Linked DNA regions of Astyanax mexicanus. The protein of the gene in region 2 purifies or fractionates together with the protein of the main gene of each other region. This does not show direct contact. Links are inferred from orthologs where the notes say so. Each region holds a gene or a part of one and is shown on either strand. Other genes may lie near its edges. The genes, in order: nufip1 and nop58.

Region 1 (9,135 bases), about 18 Mb from region 2:
TAAGACTCTGTGCACTGTACTGAGCAGGAACAGAAAGACCTGCCAGCAAGGCCTTGTTCTCCTCCAAAGCCTGAGCTGTTTTCAAGAGAGGGGAATCTAAAATTGAGAAAAAAAATAACATCAACCAACACAGAAATCTATCAAACCAATACAAAAACATAGGGAAAAATGAACATTAGTGGAGAAAAAGATCAGTTACTAGGAAAAAAGGAAAGTTACTGTAGGAACACATGCAATATAGAAAAAAGAAACAACGATAATCTACAAATTTTAAGCAAACTGATGCCATAATGTTTTTTTGTGCAGTCCTTGATTCACTATTAACCACTAATATAAAACTATAATAGAATAAGCTTCAAAGAAAATGAAACCACACCGGTTAGGCAAACAGAGTCGACATTTAGTTAGAGAGAGGGTGACATCATCTCTCTATTTGCTCTCTCAGATTCAAGTCATGTCTTTTCTCTCAGTACCAGCCTTTCAGAAACTACTGTACTGCAACCTGAGCTTATCAACATTTGTATTGCTGACTAAAGTAATGGGACTACAGCTAAGGGCATACACTGTTCAGTGAGCACTGCAGCAGCATTGTGCTGGTATTTTGTTCACACACTGAGAGAGACTCACTTCCCACACACAGGTTAGGGTTTTTTATTTTATTTTATACATTAATACCCTTGCTTCAAATGGTGTGCTCACTAAAATTTTAACATGTTAGAAATGGCATTAATCGCTCACTCACTATCTGATTCTTCCTCGCTCTCGGTCATGTCTCCTCCATAGCTGGACATCAGTGATCCCAGAGCAGAAGTCATATTTTTGGGCGCCACAGAAATGGATGCTTTCGTCTCCTTCACAGGTTCTTCTTTTTCAGAATCTAAAAAAAGAAAAGAAAAAAGGACACCAAAAGAACAAGTCATTTTAGAATGACTAAGGATGATGCTTTTGGGAAGAAGTGTCTCGAGAGCTAACCTGGGTCACTGTTGGCCAGAACTCCAAGAGGATCTCCATCTGGGTGAGGACGTACAGGAGCTGGTGGCTGCTGCTGCTGCTGCTGCTGCTGCGCATTTGCTGGTTGTACATGTTGCTGGCCACTATATGCACCTCGGCTCTGATTCTGGACGTGTCCACCACGACTTTTAAAATTACTGAAGCGATAAATAAAAACATGTATAGTTATAAGCAGGTCACTTTTTATCAGCTAACGCGAAAACTGCCATGTGGCTCCATCTGCCTAATGGTATTTACTAGCGTCATTCCCAAAGTACACTGCCATGCCAAGACGTCATAGGACAGAAACTAAGAGTACCATACCCCAAGACTTTCCCCATGTTCCACACAAGTTAATGAGCATTGCACTCCCAGTTTGCATGTGACCCTCGTGACCCCAGTGTTCTACTTCACTTACAAGATAACACCTCACAACTTATACAGCTTTAGGTATTCACAGGCTGCCTCTACCTGACAGGTAGAATATTATAACTAAGGTGCACCAGATTATAAGCTACACTGATGATATTTGGGAAAATAAAAGGATTTTAAATGCGCCTTATAGTCCGGAAAATACGGAACTGTTATCCCATGACTTTTGGCATGTGAGTGTAAATACCACATAGTTAATTGACAGGTAATTACCCAAACTGGGCAGTCTCCAGCACATCTCCCCTTTGTGCTTTAACCTCCATGGCCTTAATTTTCCTCTCCACGTTGCTCAGGGTTGGGTAGTTTCTGTAAGGTAGGACATATTACGGTGTGGTGAATCATTACTGCAGGTTGACAACATTTACCTCCACAATTAAATAAAAGTAGTAAGAGTAATTTCGGAAAAAAGGGAGGGAATGATCATACTTTCTCCTTTCCTCTCTCCATTTTGCAATCTCCTCTGCAGTGTCCAATTTGATTCGCTTTGCTCCAGGAGCATGGTTCTGAAATACAACACACAACAATGACAGGGTATTTAAATCACATAAACTCTGCCAATTCAGCCAAAACATTAACACCATCTCCTAGTTTCTCCTTGTTCAAAGTCTTTCAAGCATAGACTTCATAGTTCTATAATTACAGACTGTAGTTCTGTATCTGTTTCCCTCTATACTTTATTATTCTCCTGCTTTCACCCTGTTTTTTAATACTGAGAAACCCACAGCAGAGAAAAAAAACACTGAGCAGCTATTAATAATAATAATAATAATAATAATAATAATTTTACTATTTGGGTGGTGGGTCATTATTCTCAGACATTAGTCTGGATATTCAGGTGAGAAAATGCCTTTTGTGCCACCCGTGCCGCTATAATGAACCCTCTTTATTTATTGCAGTTTTCATTTGTAATTATATCTGTAGGTACAAACAAGACTGAATAAGAGCACTTACATTTCTCCAATGGATTTGGACGAGCTTCTCATGCGCAGTAAATGTGCAATCCTCAACTGAGCACTGAAAACAGAACATAATAATACATCACATTTTGTGGTTCTACTTTAAAAAAAACAATCTATTCTTGAAATTGGAAAAAATAAAAATGGGCAGTTCATGTAAATGTAATTTACAGAGAATATGTAGGCCTGTCACAATGCCACAATGGAAATGCCAGTGCTATAGATAATAGCAAAATAAATTTACTTTACTATTTACTTTGAATTACTAAGAATATTCAAACTATTTACCTTACCTTCACATGCTGGGCAATGTGCTCATCATACTTGGTTTTGTTTTTAAAGCCTCGATCACAAGTGTCACAGAAGTGACTGAACTCTGGTTCTTTCTGCTTTTTCTGCTGAAATAAATAAAACACAGTGTGTTTACTAGCTTGTACTTGTTATTTATTCACAGCATGCTCACAAATAGATAGAGAAATGACACAGAAACATGATTTTACATGATCAGATGTACAGGAAAAAGATTTCTTACCTTTTTACCCCACTGGTTTTGGCCGTGGCCTTGCCGTCCATATCGATTATTATTATGATGCGGACCTGTAAAGATTTTAACAGAACTGTTAAAGGTCTGAAAGGCCACACACCGACTGAGCTGATAAAACATTAGCTGGTAACACATACACACATAAAAAGCTTGTTTAAAGTTTAAAGTTAGGGAAAGGATATGATCATTTTTAAGCATCTTGGATTTTGATTAAAAATATTTTGTTATTTAAAATGTACTGTAATAATGATCTAAAACATAGTTACTTGAAAATATGCTGTTTCCTGAAGTTTCTACAGCCAATTAAATTCATTGATGACTAGGAGTGTGAACCACAGGGCAACAAGGGAGTCTATATGTTTTAATAAAAGATATTTGATGCCATGTATTGATACAATACTAATGAAACAATGCAATATACTGCAATATTATATAATATATAATATTGTACCACTGCTAGTGATGACCCTATGTATTCACAAAAAGCCACTTATGCCATATGCTCTTTTATTACAGAGGTGGACTAATGTAATGTTAGGAGTCTAGCTCAAGTGCTTTTATGGGTGTATCACAGTATAGTCACCCAGAACAGGAATTAAACCCCAATCTCCAGCATGATATGGTAGCTCACTGGCAGATAGTGGTGTTATCCACTGCACCATACCATCCACTGTACTGTACTGTACTGTACTGTAGATAGCTATATTATATCAGGCCTGTGTGTTGTTGTGTTTTTCATGGTCTCTCACCTGGATATCGATGCTGCCCGTAGTTCTGATAGTACGGATGTTGGTACCCGCTGTAGGGAGCAGTGGGGTAGGGGGTCCAGGGATCTGCTGCTGCGGGAGCTGCTGGAGGAGCAGTCGGGCTCCAGCTCCAGTCTCTGGAAGCCTGGAACTTGTCTGGAGCTGCTCCTGATGCTGGTGCTGCTGGTTGTTGTTGGGGGCTCCAGTGGAAGGTCGGTGGTCTGAGGAGAGCTCCCTGAGCTGGAGAGCTGAAATCCGGGGGCGGGTAACTCCCAGACTCCGACATGACCACTGTCACCTTTTACACAAATAAATAAACCTCTCAAAACTCTCTAAACTCCTGTATAAACTCACCAGAACTCTCACATGGCTCTGCCTCTTCACGCTTTCCTACACACGTGCTACTCAAACCCGGCGTCACTTCCGGGTAAAATTATACACAACAGCCGCTCCGAACAGCAGAGGGCGCTGTAGCGCTAAAAACTGAGCACATGCTGTATATATGGGGAAAGTGCGCATGCGCATGTACGAAAATACGGTCAGTGTAACATTTATTAATTTAATTTCTAACCTTTTGAAGCTAAATGCAAAAATAGAACATTGGGTATAAAACTTCATTATTATTTTTTTCCATTTACTTTGGTGAGAAATAAACTGACTTGTTTTTCCGAGTTTTTCATTTCTGCTTTTTGCTAATAGAATTGAAAAAAAAAAAAATCTCTCAATTTTCTATTTTTTTTTAGTTTTCCCATTTTTGCAATAACTTTTGTTACAAGGTGAAAAAATCAGAAAATTAAGATAAGATTCATTTTTTTTTAAACTTTCCTGAAATTCTAATTGTGAGATGCAGAAATACAAATTATGAAAACCCATACAAAAATATGAAAACCCATTTCTTCTGTACTACACAAAATGGTTAAAATAAAAAAAATAAAAAGTTTTACTGTCAGTGTAACCTTTATTAGTTTAATTTTCTGACTGTTCAAGGCTAAAAGCAAAAATAGAAAATTGTATGTGAAAAACCCATTATTATTTTTTTTTTGTACAAGAAATAAGTTTTCATGCATTGTACAACATTGTAGCAACAATGCAAGAATTTAGGGATTGCTGGGCTTTAGGTCATTGTAAATGATTTGATTAAAAAAGAGACATTTAATGAACAGCCATGTACACATCAGACTAACAGTGAGCAGAGATAACATACAATGAGAGCACATTGTATTTATTTATGGTTTTATTAGTCTTTGGTAAATTCACAACAGTTTGTTTAACACTCTTGGACATGGATGACTCAGACTCAGTCAAGGACTTCCCATTTACTAACTATAGAATGTCATGATTTATGGCATTGTTTCAATACACAATATTGAGGTATTTGGCTGAATCTCAGAATTTATATCTTCTTATATTTCCTCTCACTTCAAATATGAAGCAGATAACAGTCCATTACTGTTCCCAGATAATTAGATTTCTTACAGTGTGTTTCACAAATGAACATTTCATATATATATTATAAAAAACAAAAGTTGATATAAAGATGACTGATGTTATGTAAAACTTTGTCCATTTATGCTGTTTTTATGGTGGATGTCATTTGTAACACAGCTGTTGTCCAGTTAAAAAAAACACAATGTCTGAATGTAAAATAAGTCTTTAGTACGTACAAAATGTTCAATCAATTTTAACTACAACTTGGTGGATAAAAAGCTTTTTGAGAAAGTGTTTTTTGCCGTTTCACTGTGAAGTGAGTGATGGGTCACAGTCAGTGGAGCTCCTTGATGCTTCTTTTCTGTGACCACTGGCCAGTAGCCTGCATTCTCTTCATACCACTTAACTGGAAGACAGGAGACACAAATTATACATTAGAACATATTAGAACCCCCCCCCCTCCCCTATGTTAACTAATAGAACAAGGCACAAGCCCTGTTACCCATTCTCAGATCAAATCAATAAAAAGGTAATGAGAATTTTCAGGCTTCTTACTTGTCCTTCTGATTCCCTCCTTCCATGGAACCTTAGGCTTCCAACCAAGTTTGTGCATCTTGTCTGAGATCATTGGGTATCTTAAGTCACTGACAGGTCTATAATATGAAAAACAACCTTATAAAAGCAAAAGTTATTATAATATAAAAAGAGAGAAACTTAAATACCACATATAGTGTTATGCAGCAGTTTGAGCACACCTGGTAAAATTACATGAAATTCTTTATTCTTTAAAAAAATCTATGTCTGTATATTTTAATACAGTTACTCTTTATTTGCTGAATGTAAACCCTTTGTTAAAAAAAGGTTTACCATTGTTTAAAGTAACAGTTCTTAAGTGTTTGGTGAAAATGTGTAACTGCAGTACTTTGTTGTATTTTATTGTGGTGCAATACAACTGCTCCACAGTTTGTATTACTTACAGGAAATGGAGCTTTAGAATAAATTAGAATAAATAAACAACAATAATAATGAATTAAAAAATCATATATTTTGTCAAGGAGTGCCCAAACCTGTAGGTTACCAGAGCTTTTCTTTTACACACCTGTCCTCAACAAACAGCAGCCAGTTATCCAGATCATCAGTAGATGCATTCTTCACCTTCAAAAAAAATTAAATAAATAAATAAAATTAAATAAATAAATAAATAAAAATCACTCCAAAGACATAGACATTTTAAATGAGATGAATAACATTTAATCTGTGACTAAAACCTATATATTTCTCTATTTTCTATGAATTTACATGACGGTCTACTTTAGTTTCAAACTTTTAAATATTTTTATGCTACCAATATAAATTTAAATATAAATAAATTTGTACTCCTGGAATCCTTGATGGTGTATCCATTTCTTTAGCATAGTGATTTTCTGGTCCTATCTTGTTACTCCAATATTGCATTTTTGTTTAAGTTTCTGCAGTACATTATATGATATATTTTACATGTTTCAAAAATAAAAGCTGACAATGGAACCTACCAACTGTACAAGCTCTCTAGCCAGGTGGATGATGGGAATCTCAAAGTTGGCACCGATGTTGTAAATCTCTCCCAGGACGCCTTGTTCCATCAGGATGAGAAGAGCATCCGTGACATCATCAACGTGAAGAAAGTGACGGGACTGAAGGCCTGTTCCCTGAATAGTGCTATAAAGAGAGAACAGGATTTGATTACAAACAAAAAACGCAACATAAATGGTGTAAAGTTTGTTAAAAGCTAAATATGCTTACCACTTTTGGTCCTGTTGTAGAAGTAACAAAAATTTTGGAATAACCTGAAGAATAAGCAGGGAAAAAACGTTTATATCACCACTTAATAAAATGGTGGTGTGGAAGAATGATAGAACTACCTGCATACCTTTTCATGATACTGTCTTGGTCCGTACACATTACTGCTCCTGGTTATTAAAATGGGAAACTAAAATGCAAAATTACAAAATGAGGAATATTATCAAATTGAAAATAAAAGGAAACAATAAATCACCAATAATTCAAAATCATAATTTTATTACCTTGTGCTTTTCCCAGTATGATAACACAATGTTTTCAGCAACAGCTTTTGATGCTGAATATGGATTGGTTGGCTTTTTTGGACTCAACTCATCAAATTCCTGTGAACATTACATGTTTGATAAATTCTAATTGTAACAGAAATTATTAAAAAAAACATTGAAATAATTTCCTAAACTTTTAAAAATAATTTTAAAATCAATATTATCCTGAGTACAAATCAAAAATGTAATGTTCTCCAAACCTTTTGTTTTTTTATGGTTCTCTAGTTTTTATGTCTATTTTAAAGCTTGCAGAATTTACAGTTGATAACTCAGAGAGTTATCAACTGTAGAGAGTGAACAGGGTGTCCAGGTGTTCTTTATGAGAGCCTTAACAGGAATAAATTGTACTGCAGAGTAAAAGGGGATTTGTATAACTACACCTAAAAGGTTAAACATCTAAAATGACACTGACCTTGTCCAGACTGTCTCCATAAACCTCATCAGTGCTCACGTATATAAACCTTTCCACTCCAGCTTCAAACGCTGCTCTGAGCACTACATGTGTACCTTCAGCGTTCACGTGCATGAACTGAGACGGATACAGGAAAGAGTTATCTGAGATAGAAAAGAAAAAAGAGAGGAGAGTAATCTGAACAACATTCGCCTGATTCACTGAACATCACTGATATATTACCTATAACAACCAGAAGGATTCATATCTAAATCAATAATTACTCACCAACATGAGACTGAGCAGCACAGTGAAACACAATGTCGATATTCTCAGTAGAAAACAGATGATTAATGAAGTATTGGTCACATATGTCTCCCTGTGAAGAAAGAGAGGCAAAATGAATCAGCATTAGGAAAAAAGGAAATATTATAATATTTTATAATCACTGCTTACTTAAAAACTCAACCCTCTCAGTAACGATAAGTATAAAATGGAGTTGGACAATATGGCCAATAAATAATATCATAATATTTTTTTTATAATAATCATAATAATTAAACCTTTGTCTATTCTGTCAACAACAGTACGTTACCAAGACTTTGTACAGATTTTGTATAAAATTATAATAATAATGTAACAAGATAAATAATGAATATAAACAACACAAAATATCATTAAAGCTTTAAAGTAAACAATAAAAATACAAAATACTTTCATTATCAATCTCAATATTACTGTGTCATGAAATATTGTGCTTGAAATGAAATTGCACACCCTAATTACAGAAATATTGCTTTTGATATTCACTGAGCAAATATTGTCTGGGGAAAATTATACATCACAAAATCACAAATGTGAATTACGCAGTATTGAGACTTGATTATCTGATTGTGGTATCTTAAATAAAGACAGAAAAACACGCATATCATGAGGGCCCCAAAATTGCCATGATGAAAAAGAAAAACACAAAAAAAGACACATTTATTTATTTTGGTTGGTATATATTTTTTTTATTATTGATATATAAACTACTGTTTATGATTTTGTCTCAGAGTGAAGAAGGAATATTATATAACAGTTCTCACATTAAATCTTACCTGAATGAATTTGTATGTACTTGTGTTCTTAAGACATTCGAGGTTCTTCAGGCTTGAGCAGTACTGCAACTAAAACAGATTATATACATTATATTATACACATTATTACAATATACACACAAATTATACACATTACTTACACTCAATTACACACAGACAGTATAATTAACAATTAAATAGACTTACTGAGTCAATATTTATTATCCTCCACAGTGGATATCTTGCAGCCAGGAGGATGATGAGGTGCGACCCTCTAATAGATCAAAAAATCATATCAAATATTAACATAGGTGTACAGGTGAGTGAACACGAGGGTCCAGAGTTAAGATATAGGTTAACTGATTAATAGATAATTCTCCTATACAGTACTATAACCTACAGTCTGTGTGAAGCAGAGAAAGAGCACTAGGATTTAGGAGGATTTACTTTTTGCAATTTCGAGA
Region 2 (9,216 bases):
CTAAACTATACACTAGACAGTGTTTAAAAAAAAAAAGAAGCAAATTAGAGAAAACACAGAAACAAACAGTTTAGCGCTACTTTCAATTACAAGTAAAAGTTACACAGAAAGTAAGCCAGCTCTAAACAGCTTTGTATACAAGTGGTAAACTCCATACTAAGCATGGTAAAAGCTGTGCATTGTTATTTTTTTATAGTATTGACAATATGCATTAATACACATCAAGAATATCAGTGCTTACAGAATGTACAGAATACTGCACATTTTATTATAGAGAAATGTTTAGTTCAATTTTAATTGAATGAGCAGAATGAGAGTGTAGCTGATTTTGGGTTAAAAAAACTGCCACTGCTGATGCATTTTGTCGGCGGAAAAAAAAAGTATACATCATGAAAATGCCTTTAAATATCATGATATACATTTTAGTTTTTACCATATTGACAAGCTTTTTTAGAGCATGATTACAAACACCAGGACAGAGGCTTTTTTCCCCTGTTCACATCCATATCAGAATATTATTGTATCAAACTGATCATATTTTGTATTGTATTGTTTCTCTTCACTTTTGTAGACAAACAGCAAAAGTACACATTTTTAATCTAATATTTTTCATTTCTAAATATTCAGTGCATCCCTTAAAAAAAAAGTAAAGAGAATGAGAAACTTACATATGGCCTGAACAATCATGGTATCCACTTTGTCTGGACTGAACTTCAGCTTGTATCGGGAAAGGCTAGAAAAATGAAACATTATGGGGGAACATTATAAATCAACACAACCTAGAGCACATGCACTGTATTTGCCAGTTCACTGTCTCATTGGTAGTGACGAATAGTGATGAATATCCTCAGAGAAGTCAGTTATGCACATAATCATTGACAGTTTTGTCATTGACATTTTGTAAAAATGTTTCAGCCTTTATCTGGTTGTGTATGTGCTTTTTTTCCTTTACCTGTGAGCCAGACCAAGAGACATGGCACTGATTTCTCTGGGAGGAAGACCAGTGATGAGGCCCTCCATCTGATTCCTGATGCCCCTCATGAGCTCAGCTACAGCTGGACTGTGTACACAGCTCAGGTTCAGCTTTTCCTAAAGAGGGCGGCAGAGAGCAAATGTTCAGGCACAGTCTGCACAGAAGCAAGTTTTCTCCACTGTCCTTTTTGTGAAACAGGATAGTCAATGATAATTATTTTTAAAAGGTCAAATTGTGATTGTATTTAGACCACTTTAGTCACCAACAGCTTTTACAGCTTCTGTAAAAGATGCTAAACATTTAATGAGCCCTTACTTTGATAACTCCTCCCAGTTTAGCATCTGTAATCGCCAGCTGCTCATGAGCATCTTTGGCCACAACTTTTTTCAACACCTTCTTCAAACTTTTTCCAAGCTTCCCTTCTACCAAAGCAGTGGCCGCTGAAGTCATAGAAGGAAAGAGAGAAAATCGTTAAATGAAACAAGCAACAACATGAACTAATTCTACTAAACATAATTTTGCATGATTTTGCATCATTAGATACACAAGTTCAGGAATACTGTTTAGATCTTTATAGTAGAATTAACCATGACTGATATGTATGAAAGGCTGTTGTCTCAGTGGTAGTGACGAATTACTGATTTTTGTCCTCATACTATAGTCAGATCAACAGAAACATCATTGACAACAGTTTTAATATAAACAGCTCATCTCCCTCTCATTTCTCTCATTTAAACGTGCAATATAATTTTAGGACATTGCATTGATATTGTACTGTACCTGCCAGAGCTTCAGTTGTGTCTTGAAACTTCTCAAAATATTTTAACTTCACTCTGTAACAAGAAAGTTTACAAGAAACCCAAAATGAAACAACCACCAATGAATCAATAAACGTATATGTCCTGTCGACTTAACATATATTACCACCCTATAAAAGGTCGGCGATATGGTAATATTTCAGGGCACTTTTGTAATAATATTATTGGCGATATGAAAAAAATAAACACACGGACCAATATTTTATTCATTTTAAGAATATAACATTGCAACAAAATAAATGTTTAGTTTACTGAGCATAGCTTTCAAACATATGGTAGAAACAAAACCTGAAAATATTTGTTTCTATTTTGTAAATAGTAACTTACAAATAAAATAAAGAAACAATAAAATTAACATTAATTTGTAGTTTAGCAAAAAAAAAATCTACCAACATCTAAACTGTACGAATATAAAATGCACACAATTATGCATAAAATGCCCTTAAAAGCTTTTACGACTTTGTTTATTTATATTGTGAACAATAACATAGGCAGCGACCCTAAAGAACACTTTGACCTGTCACTTTCTAAAGCATTAGCAATAAGGCTTACACAGGTATACTTGTTTAACAGACCTAGATAATGTATATATTCCTGCACCTGGATGTCAATTCAATTTTTTCTTTCCATTTTGCCTGTTTTAACATTTCCTGCAATTATTTTAATTCTAGTTTGTTGCAGTTTTTCTTGACATTTATTTCCATTAAGCATCCGGAGTATAAAGGTAGAAATTGCGGGAACCATTAAAAAGCTGAGGAAATTGTTACTCATACCTTTTATTATTACTATTTTTTTTTACATTTATGTCTTTGCTGCTGTAAACCACGGTCTCCTCTGTGACTAAAAAGTGATGCATTACTCGGTCCATCTAAAAGAGTGCATAAATCTACACGACTATTCTGGATCGAGCACTTTGGGAAGGAACAACTTACACTTTGTTGGCTTTTTCCGGCGTTTCGAACTCCTTCCACAGGTTGTCCACCTGCTGAAGCTTCTGCTCATCGAGGACCTGCATGAAAAAGAATATTTATTTAAAAAAAGACAGACACGACTTGATTTACCACACCAAACATCAATTTTAAAAATACTCAAATCCTGCCTATTCCACACTGACTGCACGCTTGCAGACCCTCACACTTCACTACACGTGGCCACCCAGTGGGCTAACTAACCCACATGGTGTCTTTTAGCCGTATTTAAGAAACGTTATTTAAATTTACCGTGAGTATGCTTACTTTAATTGCATTTATACGTGCATAAAACACGTAGTTAAAAACACAGCATATTCTCTTTCGACAAATAGATAACTATAGCGTTAATACAGCTGGCTAACTCGGCTAGCTTAGCAGAAATTTCACAACGTGGGTGCAAAGCAGGCCCGTCCCTACAAGCCACTGCGCTGAGATATTTAGCATAGCTAACGCTGCTATAGCTAACAACCCGGCTATTGACAATGCGTTAGAACTACTGTATGCGTATGCACACTTATTGCCGCAAATTTAACCAGACTTACACTTTAAAAACAACCTAAACTGAAGTTCTTGGCCCGCCAAGTCATCTATCCACAGAGGAACTTCAACTAGCGAGAAAAGCTACGCTGCTAACAGGCTGAAAACGACAGTTCGCGAGGAGAAAGCTCACTGTGCTTATTGCACATTATTTAAGTAAAGTACACTTACCTTAAAGATGGCATAGCCTGCCGCAGTCTCAAACAACACCAACATCTTTATCTAACTGTCTGTTTGGTTAATATAAGAGGAATTAACGCGCTCCCGGCTGAGAGCAGCTCCACAGCACGGCTAACCGCAAGAACTTCTGCTCACCACGCGGTGCACGCGGGCAACTCCCGCGCATGCGCAGTAGGTCTGATAGGCGGTCTTTAAGCAGAGGTGGACGATACCCTGACTATGGCGACTCTTCACACTGTTATGCTGTTCAAACACTCAATACAGGACAGAAAGATTCAAGAAAGATTCAAAAAAGACTTTAAACAGACTAAAGTCTGACACTCTCTAACATCTAAAGACAAGTCACAGACTGTTTACACACAGGCTAAGATTTTGCTAAGTCTGGGGATCACTATTTGCAAGACTTCAACTAGATTATTTCTGAGATTTTTTCCCATCATGCTTCTGGTGAAGTTTACATACAATACATTTTACATATTAAGTTACAAATAATGTGTATATCAATACTGTGATTTATCAGAGAACGTTTGTCCCCATCAACAGTTTATTTTTCAGCCACACTGTAAGTTATTGATTTTATTTTTGTTGAATTCAACTCTGGCTATAAGCTTCTCCACCCCCCCTCCGTTTTTGCTACAACCTTGTATATCAAAAAGAATCACAGTTTTACTGCTATATATTTGCATTTGTTTTGGATAAAATTAATGCAATAAAGAACATCATTCTTGCAAAATGTATATTTATTAAACTTGTTTGTATCAAAAATCACACTGCAATAAGACAAAGTAGTGCAAAATAAAATAAAATATATTACATTAATTCTGTTAAAATGCATGAAGTCCAGCTGTTGCTAAAATATCTCTATAATATTCATGCATTTGCACTGAATTTATTTTGCAATCTCTTTCGCTATCCTGTGTGTATAAAAATATTTTTAAATAAAACCTGTGCACTTTCTCAGTGTCTCAATTTAAATGTCAGGGTCCTCAAACTTATACCAATGAAGCTACTTGTTAATGGTGAGATTTCTTTGCTTGGGCAATGCTATGCCCCTATCACTAGCATTAGAAGCATGTTGGGAGCATTGGCAAAAAGGCCTGTAAATCAGAATGCTTGGGGTAAATGAAGATGGGCTATTGCACAACAGTTTGTACTTGTTATCATGTTTAACTACACCCCAAGTCCATTTCACACTGTAGTTCACCTGTAAAGAGCCACTCAACCCTAAACCATATTTTTTCCATTAATCATTGAAATGTGTTTTTTTTTAAGTAATAAAACAAACCAGTCTTGCTTAAATTTTTTCTTAACATTTCCTAAACTTTAAAAAACACTTTTATTGTGGTAATTTCCGCCTCTGCAGCACCCTCTCATGTCCAACTGTTCTATAGGCGAGGATGATGTGTCCCCTACTGTCGTCCAACCGCTATCAGAGGCACACTGCTGCTGCAGCTTAGCCAATCAGCTCTCCCTTCGGTCCCACTTCTAAACCCATACATCACCGAGTGACACACCCAAACGACCCCTTCCAAATTTTACCTTTTTTTAAATTTGAGTAAGGGTGGTGTCAGCAAAAATCAGGGAGTTTAGTGCTCATTTAAAGCTTTAAGTTAAAATAAACTTATTATTACTAGATGCTGTGACTCTTCTCTGCAAGTTGATTTACTACACAATACATGTTGTTTCAACCAAGCAACCTAGCAAGTTTACAACCCTGATAAAAAATCCAGAGAAAGACCAGCTGGTCAACATGAAAGAACATACCCTACACTGGGTAGGATAGCATAGGGTATGTTTCTCTGGATAACAACCTGGATTTTAGCAGGAAATACAGATAAAGTATTTACATGATTTGTATTCACATCTTCCAGTTATTGGCTCTAACTTTGTTAATTAAGTTAAATCAGGGGTGGACAATCCTGGTCCTGGGTTTTATGGTTTGCCTGATTAAGCACACCTGATTCAACTGATATGTTAATTGCTAGATTCAGTAGCTCTGTTACACCAGAACTATCATCAAACTGTGTTGGACTCCACCCCTTCCTTTCCACTAGATTAAGAAAAACCATATAAATATAAATACCATATATTGAAACCATATAAAACATTGAACAGGGAGTTTTTATACATAAAACTCATCTGTATAGAAAATGGTTACATGCTCTTACAGCCATCAACACTGAGAACAGGCAATCAACCATTGTATAAAATATAACAGAATAGATGAGTAAAGGTAGTCTGAACAACAGAAAAACAACTACACACTGACAGTAAGAGAGGATTGGGAAGTGTTGCACACACAAACTGATTTATGGACTATAATTGAAATCTCAAAACTTAATTTGATGAGTTAATGTAAACAAACAAAAAAAGTTATCTTAACATATTTCTCAAATATTTATAATGGTGCACCATTTTTTCCTCAATGTCAAATTGTTAGGCCATATTTATGAGCAATTCTTACTACAAAATCCTGTTCTGAATAAAGTGTTTTATTTGTGTGGACTCAGCAAGTTCAAACAAATCCTGGAGAAAGGAAGTGTGTGAGAGCACTAAACTGTGCTAGAGACAGTGGTGGACTCAAATGTTTAGACTGCCAGTCCAAATCCTTTTCTTGCTATATCCAGATTGTATTCAAATGGATTTTAGATAGTCTGGACAAAAAACAACTATGAATCTATTATCTTCAAATTATGACATACATCTCTTAATAATGAGATATTATTTATCTAAAACAACGCCTGTTTTATCACACATTTGCAGACTTCCCAAGTCTTCCAAAAGTTGCAGGAGTCTACTGCATGCTAATAACTGCTCCCTGATGCCCACAAGTCTCCCGGGCAATGGAAGTATTGCCCGCTGTACAGTATGTAATAGTGATTTTCGCATTGCACACGAGGGACTAAATGTATAAATGTATATATTGGTGTGCAAGTTATGTTTTTTTGGGGGGAGGCAGGAAGTCAAGGTGCGGGGAACCTCCCTGAAACTATTGCAACTTGGGATGTCTGCATATGTAATATGTATTCAGAAAATCAAAATATTGTTTTGAAACAGAACAAGATCACCATGAACAATTCAGCACGTTTGAAATTCAACCAATTTTTTTTTTTAATAAAAGCCAATTTTATATAAGGCACAGTTTGTGATAACGGTTTTTAATAATGACATGTGGCAGATTATTATTATTATTATTATTATTATTATTATTACTATTATTGTATATTTTATTTGCTCATATTTTAATTATACTCTGCAGCATTACGTTTCCGTATATGTAAACTATGAAATTTTAAAATAAGATGCTCTTTAATTGTAGGTGCATTTTAAAACCTGAACACGCCTCCTTTACTCACACTGGCCGGGGTTTTGTCATCGTTCCCGCCCCTTGTTCCAGTGAGGTCAGCGCTGCTGTGTGTGTGTGAGAGGGAGAGTCTACGAGAGAGAAACATAACCTACATTACAGCCACACTCACCTACATTTCTCACTAAATCACTGTGGGAGAGGGTTAGGCGCTGAGGAGCAGCATGTCGGACACGGTGGGTTCTGGAGGAATGTCTCACAGACTGTGTGGAGCTGAGCGAGCAGCAGCAGGCTGACAGAAACAGCGCTTAAATATGAAAATACGAGGCCCGTTTACTAACGATAACAAGCTACAGCAACCTTTTAGCTCGCTAATTAGCTCATGTTTTACTGATATCTGGGGCAGATTTCTGGTGGTGAGCCTTGTGTTTCCCTTGTTTGGGATTTGTATTTTGGAGAGTTCACTTTACTGAAGCTGTAGCGAGTTAAATGTTGTGTTTAGACTCGGGTTAGTGAGGCTCGTTAGGTGCTAGCTTCAGTATAAAGCCTGAGAGCTACGTTAGATGGCTGGTGGGCCCAGGAGTATTAGCTAGCATAGCTAACGCTAGCTGAGCTAACAGCTAGCTTATCTAAGTTTACAGACTATCTGCCGGTCTGTCCGGTAAACTGTCAGTTTTGAGTTATTCTTTTGTTATAATAGTGGTTTAATTATCCTGCTGCGTTACAGCATTAATGTAAACCAGTGCACACTGCTGAAATTAGCTTAGCTAGCTAACGTTATCAGGTGTTGAAATGTTTCACACAAACCAATACAGTGGAATCCGTTAGCAAACAGCTAGTTAGCTGAGTTAGTTAGCCTACCTAGCTAGTTTTTTACTAGCGTGGGAGTCTTATTCACATCTTTACCAGTGTTTACTGGTAATGTACCAGTGTTTCCTCAGTTAATAGCGTATTCCTTTACATATGTAACATAGTGTAATGTCATATCTTTCTGTATTCAGGAGACTAAGCCCTCAGGAGATGGAGAGAAGAAGGACGGAGAATATATTAAACTGAAAGTGATTGGTCAGGTAAGAGGGGAAACTTCAGATTTGATTGTTGAAGCTGGCTTATTGTTTTTAGGCATGGGCAATACTTTAATATTTTATTATATCAGATCGTGATAAACTGTAGTTTTCTTCACTCTAACTAGAGGGTGGGTAAAAAAATCTCGATATTCTCGATATTTTTAGTTCTTGCATAGGCTTCTGGAAAAAAAAACTAAAGTTTCTGAAGCAGTTTCTCTGATTTTGTATTTGTAGGTATATGTTTGAATAAAATGAACATTGTTTTATTTTATAAACTATGGATAACATTTCAGAAAGTGAGAAATGGCTGAAATACCAAAAAGATGCAGAGCTTTCAAAAATCAAATAATACAAAGAAAAGTTCATATTTATAAAGTTCAGAAATCAATTATTGGTGGAATAACCCTGCTTTGTAATCAGTTTTCACGCATCTTAGCATGTTCTCTTCCACCAGTCTTACACACTGTTTTTGGATAACATTATGCCACTCCTGGTGCAAAAATTCAAGCAGTTCAGCTTGGTTTGATTGGTTGTGATCATCCGTCTTCCTCTTGATTATATTCCAGAGGTTTTTAATTTGGTAAAATTAAAGAAACTCATCATTTTTAAGTGGTCTCTTTTTTTCCCAGAGCTGTAAGTCCTTAGTATTTTTAATTTGTAGATGTTTGAAAATAATTAAAACACCAGTTATATCTATCATTTTATTTATGCATTTATTAACCAAATTAAGAGGTTCTTTATAGGGTTCTTGACAGAAACTTAAGCCTAATTACTATTTATTGAGAGATTTCTTTTGGCACATAGAGATTGCTATGTAAAAATTTGCAGTCTGCGTATCTCATTTTAAAAATCGCTTTAAAACAGTAATTTGATTTATCAAATTAAATTGATTAACCAAACTGTACATTTATCTGTTTTTTTCTATTGTTTTAATGTACGCAGTATTCATTAATATTTATTGTAGTGTTCTATTTTTATGTTTGACCAGTTTGCACGTTATGTTGTGCATATGGTCATAGAGGACCCTAATTTCATTCCTCTGTGTACATAATACAGTTTTTTTTATTACTTTGTTTTATTATTTGGTATTTTTGGAACATCACTATTGGTCAATTCATTATGACATATTAGTATAATGTAAATTCCAACTTCTGTGTTTACACTGTCAGTGAAAAAACAACAAACATGGAGATGGACGGTTAAGGTTTTTGCATGACAGGAATGATGAACTACACAAGAATCTAAAATTTAAACGCTTTATTAAGAGAAAGTATTGCTGAATATGCTTTCTAAACATATATTGAGTAAACAACACTGTATTGTGTCTTTCGTTGTTGTATTGTGTGTTGTAATAATGCTTTTAATA

What was found.
Region 1: the proteins of nop58 (region 2) and nufip1 purify together in Homo sapiens (co-immunoprecipitation; 3 studies listed by BioGRID and IntAct, with this or other methods). This does not show direct contact. The link is inferred for Astyanax mexicanus from reciprocal best matches to the Homo sapiens genes NOP58 and NUFIP1.

Annotation. Positions count from the first base shown.
Region 1 is NC_064412.1:55,616,301-55,625,435, reverse strand, and holds the start of nufip1 (nuclear fragile X mental retardation-interacting protein 1), read right to left. Parts: upstream 4,101-9,135; 5' UTR 3,955-4,100; coding exon 3,672-3,954; intron 2,976-3,671; coding exon 2,911-2,975; intron 2,777-2,910; coding exon 2,672-2,776; intron 2,437-2,671; coding exon 2,374-2,436; intron 1,926-2,373; coding exon 1,849-1,925; intron 1,729-1,848; coding exon 1,636-1,728; intron 1,149-1,635; coding exon 973-1,148; intron 878-972; coding exon 743-877; intron 97-742; coding exon 1-96. Other genes in the region: dTDP-D-glucose 4,6-dehydratase, read right to left, coding at 5,354-5,502, 5,652-5,749, 6,196-6,251, 6,629-6,794, 6,879-6,922, 7,006-7,065, 7,160-7,258, 7,614-7,756 and 3 more. UniProt on the Homo sapiens protein: Binds RNA.
Region 2 is NC_064412.1:37,930,872-37,940,087, forward strand, and holds the start of nop58 (nucleolar protein 58), read right to left. Parts: upstream 3,636-9,216; 5' UTR 3,516-3,635; coding exon 3,471-3,515; intron 2,801-3,470; coding exon 2,724-2,800; intron 1,807-2,723; coding exon 1,754-1,806; intron 1,669-1,753; exon of another isoform or gene 1,579-1,668; intron 1,414-1,578; coding exon 1,289-1,413; intron 1,090-1,288; coding exon 953-1,089; intron 734-952; coding exon 669-733; intron 1-668. Other genes in the region: sumo1 (small ubiquitin-related modifier 1), read left to right, coding at 7,008-7,019, 7,785-7,853. UniProt on the Homo sapiens protein: Required for the biogenesis of box C/D snoRNAs such as U3, U8 and U14 snoRNAs. Part of the small subunit (SSU) processome, first precursor of the small eukaryotic ribosomal subunit.